Linked DNA regions of Elephas maximus indicus. The protein of the gene in region 4 purifies or fractionates together with the protein of the main gene of each other region. This does not show direct contact. Links are inferred from orthologs where the notes say so. Each region holds a gene or a part of one and is shown on either strand. Other genes may lie near its edges. The genes, in order: METTL9, STX8, FUT8 and SLC30A4.

Evidence for each region.
Region 1: the proteins of SLC30A4 (region 4) and METTL9 purify together in Homo sapiens (co-immunoprecipitation; 3 studies listed by BioGRID and IntAct, with this or other methods). This does not show direct contact. The link is inferred for Elephas maximus indicus from reciprocal best matches to the Homo sapiens genes SLC30A4 and METTL9.
Region 2: the proteins of SLC30A4 (region 4) and STX8 purify together in Homo sapiens (co-immunoprecipitation; 3 studies listed by BioGRID and IntAct, with this or other methods). This does not show direct contact. The link is inferred for Elephas maximus indicus from reciprocal best matches to the Homo sapiens genes SLC30A4 and STX8.
Region 3: the proteins of SLC30A4 (region 4) and FUT8 purify together in Homo sapiens (co-immunoprecipitation; 3 studies listed by BioGRID and IntAct, with this or other methods). This does not show direct contact. The link is inferred for Elephas maximus indicus from reciprocal best matches to the Homo sapiens genes SLC30A4 and FUT8.

What each region holds. Positions count from the first base shown.
Region 1 is NC_064830.1:82,535,259-82,542,975, forward strand, and holds the start of METTL9 (protein-L-histidine N-pros-methyltransferase), read left to right. Parts: upstream 1-4,706; 5' UTR 4,707-4,928; coding exon 4,929-5,090; intron 5,091-7,717. UniProt on the Homo sapiens protein: Protein-histidine N-methyltransferase that specifically catalyzes 1-methylhistidine (pros-methylhistidine) methylation of target proteins.
Region 2 is NC_064837.1:11,079,377-11,086,734, reverse strand, and holds the start of STX8 (syntaxin-8), read right to left. Parts: upstream 3,019-7,358; 5' UTR 2,974-3,018; coding exon 2,957-2,973; intron 1-2,956. Other genes in the region: CFAP52 (cilia- and flagella-associated protein 52), read left to right, coding at 3,983-4,052. UniProt on the Homo sapiens protein: Vesicle trafficking protein that functions in the early secretory pathway, possibly by mediating retrograde transport from cis-Golgi membranes to the ER.
Region 3 is NC_064828.1:77,675,923-77,683,465, reverse strand, and holds the start of FUT8 (alpha-(1,6)-fucosyltransferase), read right to left. Parts: upstream 3,001-7,543; 5' UTR 2,697-3,000; intron 1-2,696. UniProt on the Homo sapiens protein: Catalyzes the addition of fucose in alpha 1-6 linkage to the first GlcNAc residue, next to the peptide chains in N-glycans.
Region 4 is NC_064828.1:10,785,830-10,792,899, reverse strand, and holds the start of SLC30A4 (probable proton-coupled zinc antiporter SLC30A4), read right to left. Parts: upstream 3,003-7,070; 5' UTR 2,621-3,002; intron 2,310-2,620; exon of another isoform or gene 2,206-2,309; intron 2,182-2,205; exon of another isoform or gene 2,035-2,181; 5' UTR 1,930-2,034; coding exon 1,539-1,929; intron 1-1,538. UniProt on the Homo sapiens protein: Probable proton-coupled zinc ion antiporter mediating zinc import from cytoplasm potentially into the endocytic compartment. Controls zinc deposition in milk.

The DNA.
Region 1 (7,717 bases), on a different chromosome or scaffold from region 4:
ACCCTTTATATGAAGAATGTATAATTTAATCCTCACAACAATCTCAAGAGATCAAACCCTTTATATGAAGAATGTATAATTTAATCCTCACAACAACCTCAAGAGATCGGTAACCATTATTAATATCACCATTTTATAGATGGGGAAACTAAGAACTGAAGAGATTAAGTAATTTGCCTCAAGTTGCATAACTAAGAAGTGTTGTGCCAGGCTTCAAAACCAGGTGGTCTGAAAGATTAGAGAGGCCCATAAAACAAAATGAGATTAAAGGGGCACACCAGCCCAGAAGCAAGGACAAGAATGCAGGAGAGCACAGGAAAGCTGGTAATGGGGAACCCAAGGTCAAGAAGGGGAGAGTGTTGACATGTTGTGGGGTTGGCAACCAAAGTCACGAAACAATATGTATATTACTTATTTAATGAGAAACTAATTTGCTCTGTAAAGCTTCATCTAAAGCACAATAAAAACAAACAAAAACAAACTGGTGGTCTGTTTCAACCTGTTGCTGTTGAGTCGATTCGGACTCACAGTGACCCTATAGGACAGGGTAGAGCTGCCCCACAGAGTTTCTAAGGAGTGCCTGGTGGATTTGAACTGCCAACCTTTTGGTAAGCAGCTGAAGCACTTAACCAGTATACCACCAGGGGTCCTAAAAGCGCAGGATAAACCACTATGCTAATGAGTAGCACTGGGAGCTCTCCAAGGGAGTAAGCTGTGTTATTTGTACTTACTCTATGTTAAGAGGAAACCCTGGTGGCATAATGGTTAATTGCTATGGCTGCTAACCACAAGGGTTGGCAGTTTGAATGCGCCCTTGGAAACTCTATGGGGCAGTTCTACTCTGCCCTATAGGGTCACTATGAGTAGGAATCGACCAGACGGCACTGGGTTTGGTTTTCTATATTAAAAGGAAACCCTGGTGGTGTAGTGGTTAAGTGCTATGGTTGCTAACCAAAAGGTTGGCAGTTTGAATCCACCAGGTGCTCCTTGGAAACTCTGTGGGGCAGTTCTATTCTGTCCTATATGGTTGCTATGAGTTGGAATCGACTCGACGGCAATGGGGTCTATATTAAAAACAAAACAAAAAAACCTGTTGCCTTAGAGTCGACTCTTAGCAACCCTGTAGGACAGAGTAGAAAGGCCTCATAGGGCTTCCATGGAGTGGCTCCTGGTTCAATTCTGCCTACTTCATGCTATTACTTTTTAACTGTTTATAATTTCATCTTGACTTGGAATTTATCAGAGCCACAGTGATATGACTTGCATATGATTGAAATTACTTTAGCTAAATTAAAATAAAAATCCCACTGTTGTTCCATGCTGTTGCGTCCATTCCAACTCATAGCAACCCCATGTGACAGAGCAGAACTGCCCAACAGGGCTTTCTGGGGTGTGATCTTTGTGGAAGCAGATTGCCAGGTCTCTCTCTCACAGAGCAGCTGGGTGGGTTTGAACCACCAACCTTTCACTTAGCTGAAAGCTTAACCATTGTGCCACCAGGGCTCCTTAAAAACTCCCTACACTTCACTAATTTTATTTTTTAGAGGTGCTTATTGCTTAAGAAGCACAGCTATTGAATATATTGGGGAAAACTTGTACTTTTCTCTGACACTTTACAAAATGTTATTAAGAAGCATTAAAAAAAAATCTGGGGCTTCCTGGGGGAGGGTAGTGTGTTCCTTTTTGGGACATCGAAGTTCCACGTTGGGAACCCTCCCAGACCTCCCCCTGTGTCTCTTCATTTCTATCCTTTTTGTTATAATAAAACTGTAATCACATATCTGGACACAGGCTCCACTCTATGGATTCTGGTTGGAGGCCCATGGGGCCTGTGCATCAGCCCTGCCTTTCAGACCCACTGGGAGGGCAGCCTCTCCCTTAGCTCGGGGTGGCCCCATTCTCCTGGTACACTTGAGTGGTGACCCCACCCCTTTCGCCCCACGTGGCTTAGTTCTCCTGGCCCACTGACACAGAAGCCTTGCCCCTTCAACTTTGGACGGTGGCTGTGTTAGCTGGTATCAGAACAGAATTGGTAATAAATTGGTTTGGATCAATTAACACCACACACACACGCACACACACACACACACACACATCTAAGCCCATGAACATGTGATATGAGTTCTTTCAGGATAATATCCCCTCAGGGAGATGGCAAGACCAACAGTGACCAGCATGTTTGCTACACTGTACAGATCCAAGTCTCTCACCCTTTGGGTTGTCTTAAGATTATACACTTTGTAGTTGAAAAGAGAACATGAAAATGCCATGACTTGTAGCTTAAGAGGAAAAAAAAAAAAAAAGCCCCTCTCTAGAATTCTAGGTAGGAATGTAATCCAGTCAAAATTCCAGGCCTGTGCACAAGGCTGTGACCCAAGGTTTCCACCAACTCGATACCAAGCTAGACACCTGAGCTCCTGGTCAGGAGGGCAGTGAGAAGAGGTTGGCACAGAAGGTGTCAGCTATGTGTCTTTTGAATATCACTGACTGAATTTCGAAGTCAAGTTAGAAAGGATATTGGTTCATCTCTGGATTTTTGTGTTCTTTGTGCGTCTTCCCCTCTCCATTATGGATAACTGAGGTTTTAATATACAGTGGTGACATTCTAGTAGATGAAGGAAAGGGGCAGTCTCTGAGGGCCATCTGAACTTCTGCTTAGTATATTTACTCTTGCTGTTTTCCTTCCTCCTCATTTGTAATTCAGGAGGCTCTCTGAAAAGAGAGAGAGACAGCGAGGCTTCTCAGATGGATCGGAGGACCAAGAGCTGGGATACCAAGTTCTATGATAAGGTCTGCTATTGAATTTGCTCTGCTACCTTTAGGCAAATCATTCGATCACACTGTGCTTTGGTTTCTTCCTGTGCTTGTTAAGTGTAAATAACATGCATTGAATATTTTGTGATTACTATAGAGTGTTTTAGATGTGTGGGTGGTCTATTGTTCTAGGTTGGCTGCTCAGGTATAAGGCAAAAATCTGTTCGTTTGAGATGCTGGGCTTCTGGGAGTCAACTGACCTCAAGCCCTTCAGGCTGCAGCAGCATCTAGTTGCTTCTTGTTCATCTGATACATTTTGCAGTCTCTGAGTAGCAGTGCAGCAGGCTTACTCTATGGTTGGGGGGGGGCATACCTTTTTTTTCTCCTTTGTCTTCAGAAATGAAATATGCCATTTTATGCAGTACTACTATTTCTACCCCCCCACCCCTCCCACTTTGAAAAGGTGAAGGCTTTCTTTTGGCACTGATACCAAGAGACAAGAGGCAGAGGTGACATAGTAAACAAACTGAGTTATTTGGACTTGTTACTATAATTCCTTCTTGATGATTTGAGCCCAAGACCACTAGAGGTTTGAAGCAGATTTAGTAAGGTGCAGGCTCTTTGGGGTTTTGGCAGGAAGCAGTCAGGGAGTATTTTTTTTTTTAGTCAGGGAATATACAGAACTGGAAGGAGAGGACAAAGTACCTCTCTGCCCCACCCTTTTTTTGTTAGAGGCTATGTCACATTAGGTAACAAGATATCCATGTTAGTGAAATGTGCCAAGCTGAGATTCTTAGAAGCTAATAGAAATATTTGTGGATAAGGTACTATTTTGTTTCTCATCAGTGGATGACCTCACCACCGTTGCAGAAATGAAAAGCTCTGAAGTGCAATATGGCATGAACTGAGGGGTTTCTTCCTTTTGTTTTGAACTAAAATAAAATGTATTTACATTATTTCTGGTTCAGTTAAATTAAAATCATTTTGTAAACAAACCAACCCAAGAAGGCGTTATTAAAGTTAAAAGGACGCGTGAAACATGTTACTCCTTAGTTGCAGCTTGAGTAGCAGCAGAAAGAACGTTAGACACAGTGTAACCCTTCAGTTTTGAGAGGTTGCTAGGTCTCCTCGGGCTATAAATGATCAAAGAAACATCCGGGTAAATACTGCTCCCAGAGCTTACTTCGCCTAAGAGTGTTGGTTCCAACTTTGGTCTGTGAGTTCAAAGAAAGAGCACCTAGAGACACTAATTTGGGGTCTTCATCCTTGGGCAGAGTCATCAATACATCAAAACATTACCTGCGGGTGCCCCAGCTGCAGTAGCTTTCAACAAAGGCAGAGCTTTCCTCGATGCCTCTTAGAAACATGCAGCCAGCAACTGGCCAGACTTGGGGGAACCGAGGTGGTGGTGGTAGCGATGATATTCTCTTTCCCTAGATTCCTGTCTGCTTTGCAGCTCCTGCGAAGCGAGGTGGAGGCCCTTGGGATAGGGTTCTGGCTTGTCAGCTCGTAGTCGTGCTCGTAACAGCTAAGAACTGGCATCGTTGGTCCATGGGAAGGACTTGGGTCTGAATCTTTGGATGCACGAACGCGATGAGACCCACCCCAGGCAATCTGCTCCACAAAGTGCAAGTCCTTCCTGGGGGTGGAATGACGAGCCCACTGGCAAAGGCTAAGGCGAAGACAGACCTGAGGTCTTGCAAGCACTACCTTGGAAGGAGGGGAGGCTTCAGTTACCGCTTTCGGAAGTGAGCTCCCCTCCCCTAAAAAATTTACATGGTCTCCGCCATTACGTGGGGCCGCGCTAGAGACGGCCGGCGGGGGCGCGCGCCAGGCGAATGCGCGCTCCCTTTGTGCCACCTCCCAGCCGGCCTGCTGATTGGACCAAGGGAGCGCGCCCCGGCGAGAGCGCGCCCCAGCAGCTCGTACGTGCTCCGGGTGGAAACCGGCGCCGTGGGCGGCGGCGTTCCGCGGCGGAAAGGAAGGAGGCGGTGGGAAGGCCGTGCGCTGGCCGCTCCTCCCCGCCCCCCTGCCTCTGCCCTGGAGGGGCTGGATGGGCAAGTTGAGCGCGATGGCTCGAGCCTGGGCGGTGGCGGTGGTGGCCGGAGGCGGCGGCGCCTCCTCCTCCTCGCCCCGGCGCCGGCGGTGATCGGAGTGAGCGGCCGCGGCCCCCGATGAGACTGTTCGCGGGCTGGCTGTGCCTGAGCCTGGCGTCCGAGTGGCTGGCGCGGAGGATGTGGACGCTGCGGAGTCCGCTCCCCCGCTCCCTGTACGTGAACATGACGAGCGGCCCAGGCGGGCCGGCGGCGGCCGCGGGCAGGAAGGAGAACCACCAGGTACGGGAGCCGGGCCCGGCCGGGGTCGGCATCCGGCGGGGGAGCGGCGGCCCGGCCTTCCCGCGCTCGGCCCGGCCATTGTGCGGCGCAGCGCGGCAACAGCGCCGCGGGCCCTCGCCCCGCCGCCGGCGCCCGGAAACTTTTCCCCGCGACTTCCCCCCGGGCCCCGGCCCGCGACCCCCGGGCGCCCGGCCCGGCCCTGCGGCGCCTTTTGTTCCCCGGCGCGGGCGGAGGCCGGCTTCCCCTTCCCCCTCCGCGGGCCCGAGCGTGGGCGCCCGGAGCCCTGCATTGTTCCCGGGCCCCCGGCGGGGCTGGCAGAGGCCCCTCGGCGCCCGCTCCCGGCGGCAGGACGCGGAGAACTTCGGGGCCGGCGGATGGCGAGGGTCACCCGCCTGACAGCGAGGCCTGGGATGAGGACAGCCCTCATAGCCTAAGGGGCACAAAACGAAAAGCCGGCCCCTCTTTTTGTCTCGTTGAATCTCTGAACATACAAAGGGTTGTGAGAAATTGAAACGTGCGTCGTGAGCCATTTAACTCTCCGGGCTTATTCGGGTGACATTTTCCCTAAGCGCTTACGTGTGTGAAAGGTCCTCACGCCCATCCTACTGAGCCTTCCCCTCCTACCCAAGAGAGATCTCCTTTAAACTTCGATTTAGGCATCTGACCAGAAGGATGCATAAAGAGGAAAATGATGTCAGCTGTTACAGGAAGGGCTTTTAAAACAACACCTGGCAGGACTGAATTCTTTTTAAGAGTTATAGTTGTGGGTCGTGAGCGATGCGATAGGATCGGTTACCATCTTATTATTAGCTCCAGTTTAGTGCCATTTCAAAGAAGGATGTGCAGGTCAGCAGTCGAATTAAGAGTGAAATATTTTGTGTTTGATCATACTGTAAGTTTGCGGTTAGCATTACATTCATTTAAAAGAGGCTTTTGGTCGCGGCCAGAAAGTTGACTCACAATAGCTTGCATTTATAGTACATTTTACCTATTCTGAGAACTCCCCATATAACCTTGTGCAGGGATCATTTTCATGGATTTCTTATTTTTCTTTGTTACTTTTCTTATTCGAGGTATTCAGAGAGTTTACGCCAGGTTGATTTTACGTGTTTTTTTTTTTTTTTTAAGATAACATTTGTTTATTATTTATTTATTTATTTATTATGCTTTAGATGAAGGTTTACAGAACAAACTAGCTTCTCGTTAAACAGTACCCATATTGTTTTATGACATTGATTACTAACTGCATGACATGTCAACACTCTTCCTTCTCGACCTTGATTGGATACCCTATTAGCAGCTTTCCTGTCCTCTCCTGCCCTCTAGTCCTTGCCCCTGGGCTGGCGTGCCCCTGTAGTCTCGTTTTGTTTTATGGGCTTGTCTAATCTTTGGCTGAAGGGTGAACCTCAGGGGTGATTTCATTACTGAGCTGAAACGGTGTCTGGGGTCCATAGTCTCAGGGTTTCTCCAGTCTCTGTCAGGCCAGTAACTCAGGTCTTTTTTTGTGAGTTGGAATTTTGTTCTACATTTCTCTCCAGCTCTGCCTGGGACCCTCTATTGTGATCTGTCAGAGCAGTCGATGGTGGTAGTTGGGCACGATCTAGTCGTACTGGACTCAGTCTAGTGGAGGCTGTGGTAGTTGTGGTCCATAAATCCTTGGGACTAATCTTTCCCTTGTGTCTTTAGTTTTCTTCACTCTCTGTTGCTCCCGAATGGGTGAGATCATTGGAGTATCTTAGATGGCTGCTCATAGGCTTTTAAGACTCCAGGCACTACTCACCAAAGTAGGATGTAGAACATTTTCTTTATAAACTATGTTATGCCAATTGAGCTAGACATTCCCCGAGACGATGGTCCCGACAGCCCTCAGTGATTTCATATGTTTTAATGAAAATAAAGAATTCTAGGAAGGAGGTAAAGCAGCTCATTCGGAAAAGTAACATACAGTTTTGATTAAGCAAGTATTTGTAGTAGTGCTTTTTCTGTTTTAAAGGATATCCTAAATGTCTATAAGATTTTTGGTAAACCCCCAGCTATCACAATTTGTTAGGCGATCAACTCCTATGATATCATTAGGTGTGTACATGAAGTTCGTAGGCAATCTTAAATTGTAAAGCCACGTTGATTGATTTGGATTTATTACTTTTTTTTCCTAAATTTTATTTTGTTGTTGAGAATATACACAGCAAAACACTAGTTCAGCAGTTTCTACATGTATAATTTAGTGATGTTGATTACATTCTATGAATTATGCAACCATTCTCACCTCCTTTTCTGAGTTGTTTCTGCCTCATTAACATAAACTTAATGCCCCCTAATGTTTCTGTCTAATCTTTGGAGTTGCTGTTGTCAGTTTGTTCCCCTGTGGATAGTTCTTAAAAGAGCATAATGCTCAAGGCAGACCTTTTTTACTAGTTAAGCCAAACTGTTGTTCAGTTTTAAGATGACTTCAGGGAATATTTTTGGTTTAAGGTTTAAAGATTATCTCAGGGCAATAGGTTCAGGGGCTCATCCACCCTCTGGCTCTAGAAAGTCTAGAGTCCATGGGAATTTGAAACTTCGTTTTACATTTTCCCCCTTTTGATCAGGATTCTTCTATGCAGTCTGATCAAAATGTTCAATATTGG
Region 2 (7,358 bases), on a different chromosome or scaffold from region 4:
ATAGTATACAATTATGGAGGTCTTACGGTTTTTTTTCAGAAATATGTCATCAACAAACCAGCTGCCATAGTGATAAAGCTAATTAACTTTAGCAAAGAACCAGTTCATACACAGTATGGCAATAACTTACTACTTCTGTTAAACAATGAGCTTATCACTTGTTTTTAATATGCCATTAAAACAGTAACTAACCAGTTGTCATCAAGTTGATTCCAACTCACGGCAACCACACGTGTGTCAGAGTAGAACTGTGCTGCACAGGGTTTTCAATGGCTAGTTTTTTGGAAGCAGATCGCCAGGCCTTTTTTCCAAGGCACATCTGGGTAGAATCAAATAGCCAACTTTCAGTTTAGTGCTAACCATTTGTACCACTAGGGACTCCACCTAGGGACCCTGCCATTAAAGTAGTAACTACTGTTCCATTGTAAACAATAGAACCGGATTCTCTAGGTGGTACACATGGCTAGTCTGCTTGGCTGCTAACAGAAAGGTTGGAGGCTCCAGTATAAGAGGTTCAGATCCACCCAAAGGTGCCTTGGAAGAAAGGTCTAGCAAACCTACTTCTGAAAAATCTGCCGTTAAAAACGCTGTGGAGCACAGTTCTATAGTGAAACACCTGGAGTCATCATGAGTCGGAACTGGTAAGCATTAGAACACTACACAAGAGTGAGGCCTCAGTGACCTCTAATAGCCAACAGCGCTCGGGTAAAGCTGTAGCCAACAGCACACGGGCAAAGCTGTAGCCAACAGCGCTCGGGTAAAGCTGCAGTCAAATCTGTTTTTACAGGTTTTCCAAAGTCCTTTTCCGCACCCCTCTCTACCTCCTAATCAGCAGCTCGGCAGTCCACTCTGAAAAACTAGTGGACACTAGCAAAGCAGAGGTCCCTTACTGTGTCACTCCCAAAGGTCAAATGAGAAAGCCACTTACTCAAACTAGTGGATAACAGAAAAATATTATAAATGCTTTTCCAACATTAACAATGGAAGAGGCCTGAGTCCCCAGTTACGGCTTCCGTCAATCTAAATAAATGGTGTTGGGCCTGTCCCTTATTTCTGGGCTTTATTTCCTACCTTCTGCGTAAACTGCGGAAAGCCTCGTGGCGTAGTGGTTAAGTGCTACAGCTAACCAAAAGGTTGGCAGTTCGAATACGCTAGGTGCTCCTTGGAAACTCTATGGGGCAGTTCTACTCTGTCCTCTAGGATCACTATGAGTCGGAATCGACTTGACAGAAATGGGTTGGGTGTAAACTGGGAGTCACTTGGTGGTACAAACGGTTAACAGGCTCAGCTACAAACGAAAGGTTGAAGGTTCAAGTCCACCCAGCCACTGAAATCCCTATGGAGCACTACTCCACTGTGATGCACATGAGGTCTTTTCCAACACAAGGCTGTATATTCATCACTACTTTTTTCTAGTTCTTTTATGGTTCTGTTTCCACATTTAGCACTGTAGTACATTTTGGTGCAGTGCATCTGGCTTTTTGTCCCTCCCAAATATCAGCCATTTAAAACCCTTTTGAACAAGCTCTACTCTGACACACACGGGGTCATCATGAATCAGAACCGACTGACAACAACTGGTTTTTAGTATTACGTGTAAACTGAAGGGGTTGGCTTCCAGGAGGTGGAGGCAACTTAGCAATATGTATCAAGGGACTAAAAAATGTTCATACTCTTGAACCCAACAGTTTCACTTTTAGACAGTGAGCTCAAGGAATAAGAGATGGAACAATGGGCCAGCCTTTGCAATAGTTTGTTTTTGTTTTTTAATTAATTAATTACCTACTCTAACAAAGAGGATATTGGTTAAATAAGTCATTCATATGACTATTTTAACACCATAAAAATCTTGTTTTCAGAGAATATGTAATCACATGGAAATATGCTCTGTTTTGGAATATATATATTACACAGATTAAAGTAAGGAACTCATTTGAAAAATCAATAGTGGCTATTTCCAAATGGTAGAGTTAAAGATGCTATATATTCTCTACAAATTTTCACTATTTTCTAAATTTTCTACCCCGAGTGTACAGAACTGTTAAAATTAGTTTTACACCAATGATGAGACTGACACAAATGATGTAGATATTAGGCAGCTGCTTTCACCTTGATCTTGGAATCCATTCTCCTAATATCCAGACCGCCTGCAACCTAGACAATCATAACCTATATTTAAAATACCAACATAAAACATATACGCCAACAAGAACTTTATGATGCTACAATACATTTTTAATTATTAAACAAAAAGTTCAAGTTCAATATGCTACAAGGATGAATTCCTCGGAATTAGAGCTTGTCTTTGACCATTCAGTCCTTGAGACCGAACGGTTCGTCGTTATTAATCGCCCTTATCAGCTGATGTTTTACTGCAGAAGACGTTGCTGAAACGAGTCTTCGTGATAATTACACACAACAGAGTAAAATACCTTATACAAAAAAGTGCGTAATTTTCCTCCCAGGTTCCTACAAATTTTCTCAACGACGAGATTTAGGTCCTACCCCCAACTGGATGGGGACGATGGATTCTGAGCCCTGGTTTCTCCATCTGTGAAATAAGGAGGTTCACTAGCTGGACGGACGTCCCCCCACAAGATTACTTTTACTTCACTTTGACAGGACTCGGGGAAAGCCTACACCAGCCGGCCCCCCAGTAGGACGGGCGGGAAACCCCGCAGCGAAAGGCACCCCGGAAGGGCCAGGGAAACATTCGGAGATCCGACCCGCGCCCTCCGGTCCCCAGGGGTCCCCCGGTCTCCTCCGCGGCCACCCGCCGCCGCAAAGACCCGGGGTGGCGGGACGCGGCTGAGCCCTCCACAGAGGACGGGCCCTTGCGGCCCTTCCCCTCACCCCGAGGGCCCTCCAGCCCTCAGGCCGGGCGGCCGCCAGCTCCCCGGACGCCCGGCCTCCCGCCAGGCTGCCTCGCGGACGGCCGCCCCCGCCCAGGGCTCACCAGGGGTCGGGCGCCATGGCGCGGTCTCCGCCAGAGGCTGGGGCACTTCCTGTTTGCGGCCGCTGACTACGGCGGCCCACGCGGCTCACACCCCGCGGCTCCGCCGTGCGCCGGGGCGCCTGGAGTTTGCCAAGGGGGGAACCGCAACGCCAGGGCCCGAAAACTACGCTTAAAAAAAAAAAAAAAAGAAAGCGCTCCCCTGGGCAACGGTACGTTGCAGCAATCTGTGCCTATTAAGAAACGCAAACTGTTATGTGCAATTAAAATGAAATTGCAGCTGAGCAAAATCTAAGCATTTATTTTCGCAGGAACGTAGGAGCGCCTTTAGACCTTTCTCTGCTGCTGTGTGCCCTGGAATCGGTTCTGAATCATAGCGACCCTATAGGACGGAGGACAACTGCCCCATAGGGTTTCAAAGGCTGTAATCTATAAGAAAGCAGAGTTTTTTCTCCCGAAGAGCTACTGGTGGATTTGAACCACCGACCTTTCAATTAGTGACCTAGCGCTTAACCATGTTATTTAAAATTTTATCCTGCTTTAAACAAGGGGTCGAACGAACTATCAATTATGTTTTATTTTACTGGACAGAGTAGAACTGCCCCATAGACATTCCAAGGAGCGGCTGGTGGATTCGAACTGCCTAACTTTTGGTTAGTAGCAGAGCTCTTGAACACTGTGCCACCAGGGCTCCCTTCCCATCAGAGGCAATCCTCTAAATTGGATTATAAAGAAAAAAAATCTCGCTAGGTGCTTGATTATATAGTTACCAAGAATGTCACAGACTCTATATGGGAAGGAAGGGAGTGTCACTTTTGTGCCTTTAAATAATAAAAATTATTTAAATAATTTCCAGAGAAAGAGAAGGGGAAAATTAGTGCCCCTTTTGCAAGAAGGAAAATCAACTGGACCAGCCCTGGCCGGGTTTCAGGAAAGTAGATCTGGTGCGCATGCGCGCTGCCATTACCATAACGACGAGAAGACGCTGCACCGGCAAGAAGACTAAGAAGAAAAGTGAGCGGTCCGGGGATGGATACCCAAACTTCGCCCGAGGCCGAGGTGGCCGAGCTGGAGCTTGAGGCGGTGATCGGCTTCAATGGTGAGGCCTCGAGTATCTCTGGGCTGCGTAGTTTAGGAACCCCGGGAACGTGTAGCGCAAACAGGGACAGTGAGACTCTGGGTAGCACCTGGGGCCGGGATGGGGTGGACGTCACCGGCAAAAGCCCTGGCCCGAGGTCCAGCCTGGCCTCTCCCGTCCGAAGACCTTGGAGAGTCACTTCCTCCCTCTGAGCTGTACACCCTCTACTACCTAAACCAAAACCAAACCAAGCCCACTGCCGTGGAGTCCTTTCCAACTCGTAGCGACCCTGTAGGACAAGAGTAGGTTTCCAAGCTGTAAATCTTTATGGAAACAGACTGCCACATCGTTCTCCTGTAGGACAAGAGTAGGCTTCCAAGCTGTAAATCTTTATGGAAACAGACTGCCACATCGTTCTCCCGCAGAGCGGCTGGTGGGTTCGAACCGCCCACCTTTTGCTTAGCAGCTGAGTTCTTTAACCACTGCACCACGAGGGCTCCTCCTCTAGCACCTAAAAGGGACTAAATGTCTCTCGGAGCTGGAAGGATGAGTAAGGGGGTGGGAATTGGCTCTGGCCGAAGAGCTAATGATGAGAGGTTCCTCTTTTAACCCTTTCCCACTAGGACACCCCTCCCTGGTTCTAAGCCCACGCAGCCCGCAGAGCACCGACCTTCCTAACCACCGGATGCTGCCTTCTGTGTCGGCCCCTTCTAAATCTCAGCTGATGTACTATTGAGAAAACGCTGGCGAAAGGATGTGTGTTTGAGCAACCTATTTAGAGGACGATCTTGGTCCTCTAAGCCAAGAGAAGGATTTTAGGTCACCATTTGGAGCCCTGGTGGTGAAGTGGTTAAGAGCTCAGGCTGCTAACCAAAAGGTCAGCAGTTCGAATCCACCAGCCGCTCCTTGGAAACTCTACAGGGCAATTTCTACCCTGTCCTATAGGGTCTCTATGAATTGGAATAGACTCGGCGGCAATGGTTTTGTTGTTGTTGTTGTTGTTTGGTAAGAAACAGATGGAATCCATGGCAAGCTGGAGTGATGTTTTGATCAGAGGAAGCCTTGTCACTTTGTTAAAATCTTAGTTTTGACTGTTGCTATTGTTGTTGTTAGGTGCCGTCGAGTTGGTTCCAACCCATAGCGACCCTATGCATAACACAACGAAACACTGCCCGGTCTTGGGCCATCCTTACAATCATTGTTATGCTTGAGCTCATTGTTGCAGCCACTGTGTCAATCCACCTCATTGAAGGTCTTCCTCTTTTCCACTGACCCTGTACCCTGCCAAGCATGATGTCCTTTTCCAGGGACTGATCCCTCCTGACAACACGTCCAAAGTATGTAAGAGGCAGTCTCGCCATCCTTGCCTCGAAGGAGCATTCTGGCTGCACTTCTTCCAAGATAGATTTGTTTGTTCTTTTGGCAGTCCATGGTATATTCAATATTCTTCTTCAACACCACAATTCAAAGGCGTCGGTTCTTCTTCTGTCTTCCTTAGTCATTATCCAGTTTTCACATGCATATGATGCGATTGGAAATACCATGGCTTGGGTCAGGCGCACCTTAGTCTGCAAGGTGACATCTTTGCTCTTCAACACTTTAAAGGGGTCCTTTGCAGCAGATTTACCCAATGCAATGTGTCTTTTGATTTCTTGACTGCTGCTTCCATGGCTGTTGATTGTGCATCCAAGTAAAATGAAATCCTTGGCAACTTCAATCTTTTCTCCGTTTATCATGATGTTGCTCATTGGTCCAGTTGTGAGGATTTTTGTTTTCTTTATGTTGAGGTGCAATCCATACTGAAGGCTGTGGTCTTTGATCTACATTAGTAAGTGCTTCAAGTCCTCTTCACTTTCAGCAAGCAAGGTTGTGTCATCTGCATAACGCAGGTTGTTAATGAGTCTTCCTTCAATCCTGATGCCCCGTTCTTCTTCATGTAGTCCAGCTTCTCGGATTATTTGCTCAGCATACAGATTGAATAGGTATGGTGAAAGAACAACCCTGACACACGCCTCTCCTGACTTTAAACCAATAGGTATCCCCTTGTTCTGTCCAAACAACTGCCTCTTGATCTACGTACAGGTTCCTCATGAGCACAATTAAGTGTTCTGGAATTCCCGTTCTTCAGAACATTATCCATAATTTGTTATGATCCACACAGTCGAATGCCTTTGCATAGTCAAAAAAACACAGGTAAACATCCTTCTGGTATTCTTTGCTTTCAGCCAGGATCCATCTGACATCAGCAATGATATCTCTGGTTCTACATCCTCTTCTGAAACCGGCCTGAATTTCTGGCACTTCCCTGTCGATATACTGCTGCAGCCGTTTTTGAATGATCTTCAGCAGAATTTTGCTTGCATGTGATATTGTTCTACAATTTCCACATTCGGTTGGATCATTCTTGGGAATAGGCATAAATATGAATCTTTTCCAGTCAGTTTTGACTATGTCTGCCTATTTGTTTTGAACAAGGAACCCTGGTGGTGCAGTGGTTAAGCACTCAACTGATAACGAAAGGTGGGTTCAAACCCACCAGCCCCACTTTGTGGGAAGAAAGATAAACCAAAAAAAAAAACTGAATCCATTGCCGTGGAGGCATTAATAATGACCCTATAGGACAGCGTAGAACTTCCCCATAGGGTTTCCCAAGGCTGTACATCTTTGCAGAAGCCAACTGCCACGTCTCTCTTCCATGCATCAGCTTAGTGGGTTCAATCCACGGACCTTTTGGTTGGCAGCCAAGCACTTAACCACTGGACCACCAGGGCTTCTCTCTCTAAAGATCACAGCCTTGGAAACCCTGTAAGTTCCCACTCAGAATTTGGTTGACGCTTAAAGGGAGCTGCGAAGAAGCAGAGCATTGTGGGAGAGAGCAGGGAGTCAAACAGTGGAGCAGCGGGGCTGTGAGCTTTTGTAAGATGATGGTTGCTTGGTCTTGCGGTCTCATTGGCCCTGCCCACTTTTCAAGTGTGATTTTCACACTTCCTGTGGATTCTGGGAGCTATCTGTATTCCTTCCATAAAATTGTTTTTCTGCTAATGTTAGCGGAAGTTGACCCTTCTTGATAGGAATCAAACAAAAAAAACAACCACCAAACTCATTGCCCTCAGTGTATTCTGACTTATAGCCACCCCCTTGGATTTCCAAGGCTGTAAATCTCTAGGGAAGCTGACTGCCACATCTTTCTCCTGTGGAGCCTCTGGTGATTTCAAAACCCCGAATTTGGGTTGCTGTCAGTACTTCGGAAAGCCTAGGGATGTAGTGGTTAAGTGCTAGGGCTGTTAACCAAGAGGTCAGCAGTTCAAATCCACCAGGCGCTTCCAC
Region 3 (7,543 bases), about 67 Mb from region 4:
GTTCCAACTGCCAACCTTCAGGTTAGCAGCTAATCACAAACAACTTGTGCCACCCAGCCTCCTGTGGTAGTTTTTTTCAGGTTAAAAAATGGCTTCCAAATACCACTGAGATATTCAACAGATATTTATCAAACACCCACTAGGTACAATACACTATGCCTAGGTCCTATAAATAAAAATAAAACTAAGAATATTTCTACACATTTCTCCCCCTTCAAATTGTCTGGCCATTTTACATGTGTGTGCTATGGGAATTCTATTGTCCCTCTGAAGTTTGTAACTAAAGATTCCTTCTGCATCTATTAAAACACAAATCTTCTAAGTTCTAAATGTACTCTACTATGACAAAATCAGAGTTCCATAGTACTGAATCTTTATACTATCACTTTGGGGACTATATATCAATTCTCTCTGTAAAAATGCACCTGTGTTTAATTATAGAATTACAGAATCTAAGAGCTAGAGGGAACTGTATGATCATATAGACCAATCCCTCCATTTTATAGATGAAGAAAGTAAAGCTAAGAAAAGGATAAATGATGGGCCCATGGTCATACTCTAGCTTATTTTTCTGACACAAAAGTGGTTTCATATACTTTTCCATCCCCCATTTAAAAATCAGAGCTGCAACTTTCACTTCTGGCCATAATAGGGACCTGAATTACACTTTTATTTTAAACAACCAAGAACTAGACAAAATATAAAAACAACAGCTTGCATATATTGGACAACATGCAGCACATAACAGTGATCTCTGAGAGACAAGAAACAAAGTGAACCTGTATTTGTCCCAGCTTACTGCCTGGACAGTTTCCATCTACAGCACAGGGAAGGAGAACCTCAACAGAAGCTGGAGATTTTCCTAAACTGGAGGTACTAAGTTGAGGATTCAGGAAGACTAAGGCAACTAGAATCTTCTGTAGGGTAGATTACCAGAAAGAAGAAAGCTGCACACACAGAGACAGAGAGAGAGATCTAGAGATCTCTAGAAGTATCCCCTCAAGTCTTCAACTGAGTACCAATCAGCACATGTACGTGAGGAAACTATCTGAGGCGGGGAAAAGAACCACTGGGAAGGAACAATGACCAAAGCTCACACAGGGCTGGAAATAGTTCACATTTCCAACAGCCTGAATGCAAACATCTTGTAATACATTGGACACCAGGTTGAGTACTGTGCTCAGAAAGGTATTGTCTCATTAGGGGGGCAAAATGGCCCTGGACTAGAAGTCCTGGCTATCAAAGCTTAAACACACATCTCAAAAGAATCGAACTTCCCACGTAACTTAACTGCATCCCAGAACATTACTCAAAAATGTCTAAAGACACTAAAAAAAAAATCCACCCCAGCAATACAAAATTCACAATATTTGTCATCCAATAAACAAATTACCAGGCACGTAAAGAAGCTGGAAAACATGACTCATAATGAGGAGAAAAATCAATCAACAGAAACAGACCCAGAAATGACACAGGTGATAAAATTAGTAGACAAAGACATTAAAACAACTATTTTAACTATGTTCTAAATGCTCAAGAAAGTAGTAGGCGTGAGCATTTTAAGGAGAGAAAAGGACAATATGAAAAAAATACACAGTCAAGTTTCTTAAGATGAGAAATGCAGTATTTGAAATAAAAAATCAGACCTGCAATGGGAATTGTAATTTTTGCCATTATTTCTGACTATCAACACCATAAATGTGGAAATAATGTTTTTCATCAGGTCAAAAATAGTCCTTTTTGTATTAAAATCTCAAAGCTATGTATCAGGGTACATCAAAATCATCAATGTAGAATAGTAGTTGCATAGCACAAATATGTTAGCTGCAGTTGCTATTGTTATTTATAAATAATTGGAATAGCACACAGCCTTTGCTATATGCAAAACATGCTACGCCAAGCATAACTTCTATTCAGAAGAGTTTAAATTCCAAAGACGAATGAAAAATTGGGTTCTGTGACTTGTAAAGAGAAAGTATTTTTTTATGCACCACTCAGGACATGGAATAAAGCAGAGAGTTTTAGACCCTTGTTGGGATCAGTGGTGACAGCATTCCCAACAATTCATTGGTGAGCTGCAATTTAAAGGATCTAACCTTTTTTTTTTTAACCTAAAAAAGTCTAGGTAATGAGAAGGGGAAAATCAAGCATAAAGCAGAGGTAAGACCAAAAAAGAAACTCTTACGAAAAGTAGAAATGTAAGAAATGTGAGGACTATGGTTTACAAGTACACATGAATCTCCCTGACAAAGCTTAAGAAGGAGATAGCATGACAATGCAGTTAAATTCAACCAACAGTTATTGAGTGCCTGTTACCTGCAAGACACAGCACTGAATAAAACAGTATCCCTTTCCTCCAGAAGCACAAAATATGATGCAAGAGACAGATGCAGATGCATAAATAACTTTATCATAAGTCAGACTGATAGCCGCAATAATGAAGACATAGCCACAGCTAAAGGAGTATAGAGAAGTGAAATAACAACTGAATCTTGGGTTAGGAAAATGGGAGAGGACTTTACAGAAAAGGTGACGTTTGAACTATGTCCTAAAAGATAAAGGATTTTACTATATACAACAGGGTGATATATAAAAGGGTTAATATATGATTATTCTTCATCTAATCACTGTCTCCCTGACACCCCCATCCATTCTCTGCCTCTCTGCTCTGCTTTGTAATCCATAGATTGCCTTACCTGGCCTCCTTCGGTGGTTGGTTGGCTGGCTTCTTCTGATTGAATTTGAGGGCAAGAGGAGAGAGAGGTTGGGGTATTTCTTCACTATTCCTGCTTCAGCACTGTGGTTTCTGGCAGTGGCTGCAACCCTCCCTGCCTGCAGCTCTTTCTGATGGACCCCTTTTCCATGGCTCCAGTTCTCACTGAGCTAAGGAAACATATTCTATCCCCTTTTCCCTTTGGGTCTAGGAGAGGTAAGAGCAACCTACATTTCTAGTCTCTGGGTGCCTTGACTACTTTTGTGATTTTCCCTTACTCTGACCATATATGTCTGTCCCTTCATTTGAACCATCTGAGTTGGTTCTTTTTCTTTCTGTTTCCTTCCTGCTGATAATAGGAGTTAAGACCGTTCTAACCTAGACAGAGGGAGCAGTATAAACAAAGACAAGAAGGAATGAAAATACATGACTGGGGAACCATGAGTCATTCTGTTAAGACTTCATCATGGGAAATTTCATAAAGATGAAATCTTCTATAGAGGAGAATGATTTTAGTGAATTTGGGCCCACTTATGAGGGCCTCACCAAGGAATTTGGACTTTATTCTTGGACAATAGAAATCCAGTGGTAGTTATTGAGTGGGTACAATCAGATCCGTGTTCCAGAAAAATCTCTCTGCTAGCATGTGACGAATGGAATGAAGAAGGAAGAGTCTGAAGGCAAGGAGCTAGGTAAAAAATCAATGCAAGAAAGTCATGAAATGGGACATTAGATGGTGGCAGAGAGAATGGATTTGAAAACGGGTCAGCAGTAAAATTTATAGTCTATGGCAAATGAGCAAAGTGAAGGGCAAAGAAGAAATTTTTAAGAATGACTTCCAGATCTCCAATTTGGGGGAATGGGAGAATTGTGGCCCTATAAACACAGAGGAAGAAGTTCTTAGAATTGGAAAAATGATGAGTGTGATATCGACCACATGGAAATTGAGGTGCTGCATAACATTTAGGCTGAGGTGCTCAGCAAAGAATGGAAATTTGGGTCTCCATATCAGGAATGAAGTCAGAACTGAAGATAAAAGTAAATACTCTAGAGTTGTGGTTCTCAGTCCTGGCTGCATTTAAGAATCACCTGAGAAGCATTTAAAAAGCTGATGCTAGGGCCCAAACCCCAGATCAACTAAATCCAATTTCTAGGTGGGGCCCCGGTATTTATTTCTAAAGAGCTCCACCAGTAATACTTATATGCATCCAGATTGAGAAGCACCAATCCAGAGTAAAAACAAAAGCAGATACGAGTAGACAGTTGAGGTTCACCTGCATTTAAGGTACAGACAGGGCAGATGATAGAGCACAGATGATGAAGAGGCAGACAAAGATAAAGGCAGTAAGAAGAATTTTATCAAGAAAGTGAACAAGCACATGACATGTCAAGGATGTGCAGAAGAGAAATGGAAAAGGCCAGTAGATTTGGTAACCAGCAGATAGTTACTGACCTCTGGGAGGACAGCTTTTGTAACTGCAGAAGCCAGATTGCAATAGGCTGAGGAGTAGCTTTCAGGTAAGGAATTGGAGGCAGGGAGTGTAGACTCCTCTTTCAAGAGGTTGGGTGCAATAGGTAGGAGAAACAGCCAGTGGCTTAAGAAGAAAAAAGGCTGAGAGAAAGTTTTCTTGGTTTTTAGAGTATATTAGTTGACTGAGGGTAAGGAAGCTTCAGTGAGGGGGAGAATGAAGATACACAGGGATTACTGGAAGAACTGGACCACAGAGGTGCTCAGAGTATGGGAGACCAAGTGGAGGAGTCAGCCAGGAAAGGAATTCCAAAGAGATAAGCTTTAAATTGAGGACAGTTGACGGAGTTCAAGTCATTATTTTCATAATGAGATGGAAGGCATGGGTGACTGCTGAGAGCAAAGAAGATAGCAGGGAAATGGAAAAGAAAAGGCAGAGAATAGTTACTGAGATATTTCCATGTGCCAGGCACCATGCTGAAGCCCCACCAAGTTATCTCAGTCAGTAATTAAATGTGCTTTTGAAGGACAGATAGGATAAGAAGCAAAAATCAAGCCTGTACTGTCCAATTTCAGCCATCTAGTCACCTTGCTCTCTTGTGCCATTACTAATTAATGGCCCTTTAAAGCTTGGCCTGCAATCTGCTTTAAGTTAAATGCTCATTTCTAGCTGAATAGGAAAAGATTTCAGTTGTGATAATATTTCCTCAGTTTAGTTTAAAGGAAAGAACTGTAGAAGATCATTTAAGAAAGAGAAAAAGCCTATTATTGAGAATGCCCCATTAGTGAGGACAAAGAGAGATGGGGCTTCAAAAAGATAGTGCTTAATGGTCCAAGTTAATGGCAATCGATAAATATTTAGGAAGTAGATTTAACCTGTATTTTTTTAAGTTCTTCTTTTAAATGTGAAAGATAAAACTTTCGATTACAAATTCATCAAGGGCTAGAATTGTGCCACCTCTTTCCACAATGCCTGGGCAATTGTGTGGGGTCAGTGGATAGCAACTGAAGATTGAGACAGCCTATATTACAAGACCCTCCCATTATTATCCATGCCATGTGGTATAGGCCAGCAGGCCAGTAGGCTAGATAGCTTCCAATTTTACAGATGGCAAACAGCCTCTAAATTGGAAATTTGTTGTGACATTAGCTGTCCTTTTCTCTGAGAAACACTTTCCAAAATTGGGGTCAGTAAATTCAGAAGTAGCTGCCAAGGGTTTCCTTCACTGACATCCTAGTAAACCAAGTTGAGGAGTTAGGGTGGCTACAAGGAAAGACAGGATATCTGGCCAACCTACCTGAATGAGCTGAGGGGGATTATGGAGAGATGATCTTTCAAGCTTTAGACCGCCAGAAATTCAGTGTGGACTGGAGATGGGGATAAGGTTGCAGAAGGCTGGGAAAGCCGGGATGAATTTAGGGTAGCAGTGCTGCTTGGCTCCCTGCCGCTGGGCTACCGAACTACTGTATTGTTTCCAAAGCCACTGTTGGACATCTTGCCTTGGGTTACCGAACACTACCTCTAAAAGACTTTTTCTAGTTTCCATTGAGTTAATTCTGACCCGTGGTGACCCCATGTGTGCCAAAGTGGAACTGTGCTCCATAGAGTGCTCTGTAATAGCTAATTTTTTGGAAGTAGATTGCTAGACCTTTCTTCCAAGGTGCCTCTGGGCAGACTCGAAGCTCCGGCCTTTCCATTAGCAGCCAAGTGCGTTAACCATTTGTACTACCTAACAAGTCCTCTAAAAGACTATCTCATTTTATCCTTATCGCTTTTATTATTGATGTCCAGCCCACTTACAAAAAATAGATTTGAGACCATCGGGCCTCCATATCTTGAATCTAGAACAGCATGTAGCTGCTAATTTCAATGGAGACCGGATCCTAGTTTACATCACTCACAATAAATAGTTTGTTCCATCTCAGGTCCAAGCACAGTGCCTAGCACATGAGGTAGTTGGCATTCACTAGGTATTTTTTGAATGTTTGAATTTCACTTATGTGATTCTGCTTCCTAGTGTTTTCTACATATTATTTTTATTTGTTTAAAAACTTCCTTAAAAAATTTTTTAAGAACTACTCTATTTCTTAAAATAATTTTTTACATGAAATACTCAAAGAAAAATTTTGATGCTATAAAGAAGACGCAGTACCTAGGCACCCAGAGGTTTTCCTAATCCTCCAGTGGACCTGTTTGGCCTATATTCCTCGAAGTGTTCTAACATAGTTACTCTAAGGGGGTATTAATCTGAAACTCCAGGGCTTTCTGTCCTTTGCTTTCTAAATAAACAGCTTTCAAGTGAAATTATTATGGCTAGAAGACCTTCAGGGGTAGTATCACCTGATATTTATCTTATGCGTTTCTTTAGTGGAGCCTCCATTTCTTGTTCTTCTCCATTACATCCTAGGCAGTTAGGTGCCAGGCAAACACTTCCATTTCATCTCCATTCTAAAAGGTCAACGTGATGACAAAATCAGAAACAGAACTCAAACCTTTTGTTTTCTCTCAAATTTCATCACACTTAACCTTGATCCAATAGTCCCCTGTTCCTGGTAACTGGGATTATAGAAGACTGGCTTGAAACAAACATCCTCTCTCACCCTCTTCCTTAGCAGCTTGCACTCTGAATTCATGATCATACCAGCTCTTAAACTGTAATAACAGGAATAGTAAACTTAATTTTACATAGGATCTTTCATACAGATCCATCACAAAATGCTTTGCATCTAAAGAGTTGTAGAATTACAGAGCGGCACCACCAAATTAAATAATAAGTAACAGCTGATACTAATAATTAGCTTAATTTATGGTCTAGCGGAACTGTCACAACTGAAGCGGCACTCCCTCCACCCCGTCTCCTTGTCTTTTCTTCCTCCTCCCTCCTCCCTTGGCAACAGCAAGCAAGCAAAGTGCTAAGATCGCCATATTAGTCATTGTAAGTCAAGACACTTCTTCCTTTACTCTCTAGCTTTCTGACCTTATTATATCAAGTATTTCCAACCTTACACTTTATGTACAAATTATCAAATGGGAATCTAATATGCTCTGTAAACTTTCACCTAATGCACATAAATAAATAAAGAATTTCTAACCTTTTTGGAGTTACTACACCCCATCATTGTTTAATTTTACAACTGCTTTTCCTTTCTAAAGTTGCATGATGTCATGCACTTGGTGGGAGGTGGCACTAGGAAAGATTCAAATCTCTTGAGAATTTGCAACATCCTCAGAAAGGCTCTTGTAGTTAGATGCCTTCGAGTCGATTTTCAAGTCCTAATGACCCCATGTGACAGAGTAGAACTGCCCCACATGGTTTTCTAGGCTGTAATATTCACAGGAGCAGATCACCAGGTCTTTCTCC
Region 4 (7,070 bases):
AGGTTTCGAAGAGTCAGACCTTGCCAACTCAGTTCTGGAGTCCACTGGGGCCACTGAGGGGGCGGGGCTGCCATGCCTAAGGGGCAGAAGAATTGGGCCTGCAGTGGCTGAGGGGATGGGGTCACCACTCAGATGAGCTAGAAGAATGGGCCACCTAAGCCTAGGAAGCAGGGTTGTCATTCCAGTGGGCCTGGAAGGCGGAGCTGAAGCCCAGGGCTGTACAGCCTCCCCCCAGAATCCAGAGGGCATGGCCAACACCCAGAGTCTGGAAGGCAGGGCTATTGCCTAGATGGTCTCAAGAGAAAAGAGGATTATTTTCAAGCCTGGTGAGCTAAAATAAATTGTTTTGCTGGGTTTTGGCTTGCTTGGTGCCTGTTATCCCTTTCTTCCCTCCAATTTCTCCCACTTGTAATGGAAATGTCTACCTTGAGCCTGTTCCTCCATTGTACTTTGGAAACAGGTAACGTGTAATCTTCATTTCATGGGTTCACAGGTGAAGAAGAATTTTGTCCCAAGGTGCACTATGCCTAAAGTCTCACCCATATCAGCCTTAGATGACTCAGGAGATTTTGGACTTGGAGTTTATTTGAGACTTCTGGGATGATGTGATGGGGTAAATGTGTTTTGCAAGTGGGAAGGACATGAATTTTGCGGGGGGGGGGGCAAAGGATGGAACATTATGGATTGAATTGTGTCGCCCACAAATATGTGTTGCAATTCCTAACCTCTGTGTGTGTGGTTAGAAACCCTGGTGGCGTAGTGGTTAAATGCTACGGTTGCTAACCAAAGGGTTGGCAGTCTGAATCCGCCAGGCACTCCTTGGAAACTCTATGGGGCAGTTCTACTCTGTCCTATAGGGTCGCTATGAGTTGGAATCGACTCATCAGTGCTGGGATGTGTGTGGTTGGAGCACTGGTAGCCCAGTGGTTAAGAGCTTGGCTGCTAAGCAATAGGTCAGCAGTTCAAATTCACCAGCTGCTCCTTGGAAACCCTATGGGGCAGTTCTACTCTGTCCTATAGGTTCACTATGAGTCGGAATTGACTTGAAGGCAGTGGGTTTGGTTTTTGGTTTTATGCATGTGGTTATAATGCCATTTGGGAATGAGTTGTCTTTCTTATGTGAATGAGGCAGGGTCTGTGTAGGGTGAGTCTTCAATCTCTTTTGAGATATATAAGAGATTAAACAAGCAAGCGACGGAAACAGATGGGGGAAGAGAGATGCCAAGCCACATGAAGACTGCCCAGGTGCAGAAACTCAAAGAGACAAGAATCTTCCTCCAGAGCTAATGGAGAAAGAAAGCCTTCCCCGAGAGCCGGCACCCTGAATTCAGACTCCCAGCCTCATAAACTGTGGGCAAATAAATTTCTGTTTTTTAAAGGCACCCTCTTGTAGTATTTGTTATAGTGGCACTAGGAAGCTAAGACACGATAAAGAACGAAGTTCCTGAAAAGAGTTTAAGCCTGAAATCATAGGCAATAAAAGCTCGACAACGGCTCTCTAGGCAAGGTAAACAAAGTGAGTTGGCAACACAACTCACCTACGAGTTCTCCAATCATGAAAAGCAAGTAAAGAACGGCAGCGATGGTCAATCTGGTTTTCACCCTTCGCTGCTTCAGTAGCTCTCTCTGCTTGCTGCAGTTGTCACACGGGTCCACCTTCAGACTCAGCTGACTGTTGGTCAGAGGTACGTCCTGGTCCAATAAGGAATCGTCGTCGGCCTGGAGCGCAGGGTGCGCCCCGTTAGCAGGCCTTTCTGGGACGTCAGAACCATCGTCGCCCACCACAACTCGCAGCTTGTTAAACCGAGAAAGCCCCTCGTCCACCACCTCATCCGAGAAGTCGAAGGCGCTGGTGTCATTGAGGAAGAGCGGCGCCTCATCCCTCCTCAGCAGGGACCTGAGGCGCTTCCACGCGCCGGCTCCCGCCATGGCAGCGGCTGCGCGGCGCCGAACGGCCAGGTGCAGGCGGCCGGCCGCCGGCTACTTCGCGGGAGCGCCAGCGCCCGACGGCGGAGCCGCGCGTCCCTCCCCACCCTGCGGAAGACGAAACACGTTATCAGTTACCGGCGCCCCCACAGCCCCTCAAGTTCCGACGCCGCGGACGGCGGGGAGCAGCGCCGGCCCCGAGGCGCGGGCTCTGCGGCTCCGCGGTCGCCGGCCTCTGCAGGCGCGGGCCGCGGCCCCGCGAGGGGGCGGTGCGTCTACCTGGGGCGCTGCCTCGGGGCCGCGGCTCATCTCCCCGCCCCCGGCCGGCTCGGCGGGCCCGGCTCGCACCGCTCGGCCCGGGGCGGCGGGGGCGCAGGGTCGCCCCCGCGCCTGCCACGGCCGCCCGGCGCGGCTCGCGGCCGGCTCCGCGGGTCTGACAGGTTCGGGGCCGGCGCCCGCAGCCGCCGCTTCTCCGCGCCCTGCGCGTGCGCCCGAGCGGCCGCGGGCGAGGCGCGGGGGAGGAGTCGGCGCGCGGACACGCAGGCCGCCGCGCAGGGCTGAGGCGCCGGGGGCGGGGCGCGCGGGCGCGCGGGCGGGCGGGGCGCGGCTCCCCGCAGCCCCGGCCCTCGCCCCCCGCCCGCCGGGCCGCGGCCGGCTCTGTCCCCGGCGCTAACCCGGGGCTGCGGCGTCTTACCCGGCCGAGCGGAGCCCCGGTCCCCGGCGCGGCCTTCCCACCTCCTCAGGGGGAGAGGCAGAGCGGCGGAGCCGGGGTCCTCAGGCCGCGGGGCGGCTTCCAGCCGGGCGCCCGGGCTGGGCGGTGCTAGGGTCTTCCCGCCACCAGAGGAGGGTCTTGGCAGTCTGGGGTCGGGATCTTGCTTGCGCGTCCTCCGCGAGAAGCAAATTCGGCGTCTCCTTGCCCAGTGGGAAGCCGAGCCGCTTTTCTCTCCTCGAACCGCTTCTTCGCTCTGCCTGCCGAGCTGGCGGCTCCGCTGCAGTCAGGTCACCGCGGAGAGGGCAAGGTTTACGTCTGTCAGCAGCGCTGCGTCCTGCTTAGGTCTCCTGTTCTTCAGCCAGCACGCCCGTCCCGTGTGCCCACCACCACGTTCGCGCCCGCCACAGTACTGGTTTCTGATCTGAATTTTAGTGGCAAAGCGGAATGACGATAAGGTTCCCCCCCTCCCCGCCCCCGTGAAAGTTTCGGAGATTTCTGATCCAGAGTCCATGGACAGGCTTCAGGGGGTTCGGGAGGCTTTAAACTTCAGTGCAGACTTTCGTGGGTATGTTTATTTTCTGAGCTAAGTCCCTTAGCTTTCATCATACTCTAAAATGAGGATCAGACTCAAGATTTCGAACAAATACTGTCGGGAGGACTCATAGGTCAAGCTCCTACCTCCTACCTGGAGGCAATGATAGTGCGAACTCCTGTTTATCCAGTGTCTATGAGTGTTGTATTTTCACAACAGCCTATGTACAGTACCGCACGTCAAGTAAAAAACTGAGACGAAAAGTCACATAAACATCATTTTCCTCTGAAGATTCAGATGGCACTTTAGAATCTTTCATGCCTCGGGGCCACTGTCGAGCACCAGCTGCTTTTGGACTCCACGGCAGTCCCTGGGTTTTGAATGCCCACCCTGCTTCTACAGAGCTGCAGCCGTGGGAATCATGTTAGGAAACCTGGATCAGAGACCCCATGGTTCCTATGACCCAGAAGGGAAGAGTGTTGCCCACAATATTCAACTACTAGGGCACTCTGGTCATCATCAGCTGAAGGGAGAGGGTTTACTGGAGGTTGCTTTCCTAGCCTTAAATGTCTTAATCCACCCATTTTGAGAGTACGTTATTTGTTGTAATTGTTTTTATTGTCACTTTGTTAAACAGCCTGAAATTCTACTAACGAGAGATACAAGTGAAAAACCCAAGTATTTCAGGAGTGTGATCACTCTCTCTTTTGTATAAATTATTTAAGTACGATGCCATTTAAGGAAAGGGGGTAGGCGTTTTCAAGAAAAGTGGAAGGAGAGCATGGATTGTTGTGGGTCTTTGCAATATACAGCAAGCTTTATTGGGGAGGGCTGCAGTTCTGCATGCCAGTTTCCTTTTATTACTTTGTATCACTGGTGGTGGAAGGACAGAGAACACCCTACATAGTGATTTTAAGTTACCTTCACAAGTTCTGTGATACTCTTTTCCTTCAAGAGATGGAGCTTAATTCCCCTTCCATCGAAAGTGGGTTGCACTTAATAAATAGAATATGGCCTCTAATGAATAGAATGTGGCAGAAGCGATGCTGTGTGATTTACAAAACCAGGTTATAAAAGGCATTGCAGCTTCCTCCTTGTTCTCACTCTTGGTTACTTGCACTGGGGGAAGCCAACTACCATGTTGTAAGCAGGCTCAAGCAGCCGCATGGAAAGGCCCATGTGTTGAGGAACTGAGGCCTCCTGCCAACAGCCAGGTAAGTGAGTCACATTAGAAATGGGTCCCCCAGCCCCACTCAAGCCTTCAGATGACTGCAGCCCAGACCAGCGTTGACTGCAACCTCAGGAGCCAGAACCACCGGGCTAAACCACTCCCAGATGATCCACAGAGACTGTATGGGATAATAAATGTTTAATATTTTAAGGTGGTAAGTTTTAGGGTAATTTGTTACATAGGAGTGAAGAATTAATACTCTCTGTATTAAACCTCTGTACCCAGAAAGACACTTTTCTTGTTTTTTTATCACATAGTATTTTGTTCCTAGACCCTCGATTGACCTAGTGGCATGGTTTCTGTCATTGGGCTTTAAAATGGACTAAACAGACTTTTGTGAGTAGGCTGGGTCTGTAACCACCATTTGTAACTTTATTTCTATGTATTCAGAATTTCTAACAATAGACAAATGAATGTTTGAAACATGACCCATTAGTTATCTGGGTACTGCCTACAATTCTGCCAGCCAGTGCTCAGGATTCCAGTCTTTTCTAAAAGACTTCTTACTGCTTTCCAGTCTGAAGGACATTTCTGATGGGTGAAGGCAAAAAGTTCCTAACCATATAGCCCACCTTTCAACCAGACAACCCATGATATGTAGGTTGCTTAGTTTAATAGCAGAAGCCTGTCAGTCCAATTATAAGACTCATACCTTGGGGCAGTTGTCTAGGATAGACGCACAATGTCCTGTGTCAAAACCTGCTTTCTGGCCCAGGTGACTCTGGGAACAAATGACAGTACTAAAAATAATACCACAGATAACGCTGACTTGAGACTTGTTAATGTGCCAACCACTATGCAGAGGATCTGCCTTACATGAGTTCATTTCATCCTCACAACCTCACTGTGAAGAAGGTAGTGATTCAAAGCATGGGCCTTGGAGTCAGCTTCTGTTTGGATCCTGGATTCACCATTGACTAGCCATATGAGCTCTGGCAAATCGTTTAACGTCTCTGGGATTCAGTTTCCTTATCTATAAAGTGAGGATGCTAATGGCACTCAATGGCAGCTATTAGTATTTTTTAGGTAGATGAAGACATGTAGGCTCAAGGAAGTGAAACAACTGGGCCAGGGTCATGCAGCTAGCAAGTGGTAGAGCAGGAACTCAGTTCAAGCTCTTAACTGTTACTGTCCTGTGCCTCCTCAGTTACTTTCTGCTCACAAATGAAACGATCTGCAGAAAAACAACTAGGTTCCTGAGGCGGGCCACGAGAGATCCCTGTATCATACATCAGAGATTTTCTAGCACCTTGAGATCTCGGTATTATCCTATGAAATCCCCTTGGAAATGATGGGGCGTGGGGAGGGGGGGAGTGGAAACTTTCTTTTAATCAGAAAAATGGGAAAAGTTGCCACTTAGTTGACAGGTTCAAATGCTACATGTTCCCCATCCTGAGAACTCTTTTGTCCATTGGAGTATGTGGCTGTAAGAGGTTTCCATAGGATGTTTTTGAAATGTGTCCCCTTATCCTTTTCAGAAGGGGATGAGAACAGCTACGGGATAAATGTGAACAAGGGTAAGTGATATGTTACTCAACTATGGTGAGTGTAGTAGTTTCTTCAAAACTCCCAAGGGTTACAGTGTTAAGAGGCTGCAGCTTCAATTACACCCTCCTCCAGGGGAAGAGAAGGACCCAAAACAGATAAAAGACAGACTTGCTCAAGGACAGGAGGAGATAAAGGAGAAGATCCCTGGCCCAGGGCCCCATCTACCTTGCCAAGCAAACTGACCTCTGAACAGAAACCTACACTCAATCAAGTTTCTTGTTTTTATAACTTTGTTTTTGTTTTCCTTTAGTTTTTAAATGTTCCTATTGGATTTTTCCAGCCATGTCTGGCTAAAATTAGAGGCAGTAGGAGACCCCAGTAGGATGGGGGGTGTAGGGGGCAAGCATACCAGCCCTGGAGTCTGGGAGGCAGCTGGGCCGGGGTAGCTTGAAGATCAGTGAAAGGCCAACTTCAGAAATGAAGATCCCTTTCTACCTGAGCACTTCTTCACATACAAGGCCACCGCGTGAGAAGCTGGAGAACCTGGATCACCTTCTCGTTTTGTCACCCTTTTGCTGTGACCCCTTGAGTCAGCATCATGATACTGCTGGGCCTAGTCTTTGATCTGTGAAGTGGAAAAGAACACTTGTCCTACCTGCTTCATAGGGAAGCATTCCCTTACCTACTTTGCTAAACCCATCAATTCCGACTTAACAATGACCCTACAGGACAGAGTAGAATAGCCCCACAGGGTTCCAAGGAGAGGCTGGTGGTTAGCAGCTGTAGCTAGCTCTTAACCACCATGCTACCAGGGTTCCCCTGCTTTACTAGAGGAAGTCATTAAATGCCATGGCATCTGTACCGTCCTACAAAGCAAGGGTGTGGGCAAATGCTGGCCATCAGGCATCATCCACTTAATCTGTCCCCCTTAGGATTGTTAAGCCCCAGCCCTTGGCTTATTAAGGAGGCATCCTGACTCATTTAGAACTTTAGGTCACTCCAACCATATTACTGTTACTATTACAGCACTTCATTGAGGGAGCCCTGGTGGCACAACAGTTAAGCACTTGGCTGCTAACTGAAACATTGGTGGTTTGAACCCACCCAGTGTCTCCACGGGAGAAAGACCTGGAGGTCTGCTCCCATAAAGATTACAGCCTAGAAAACCCTATGAGGCAATT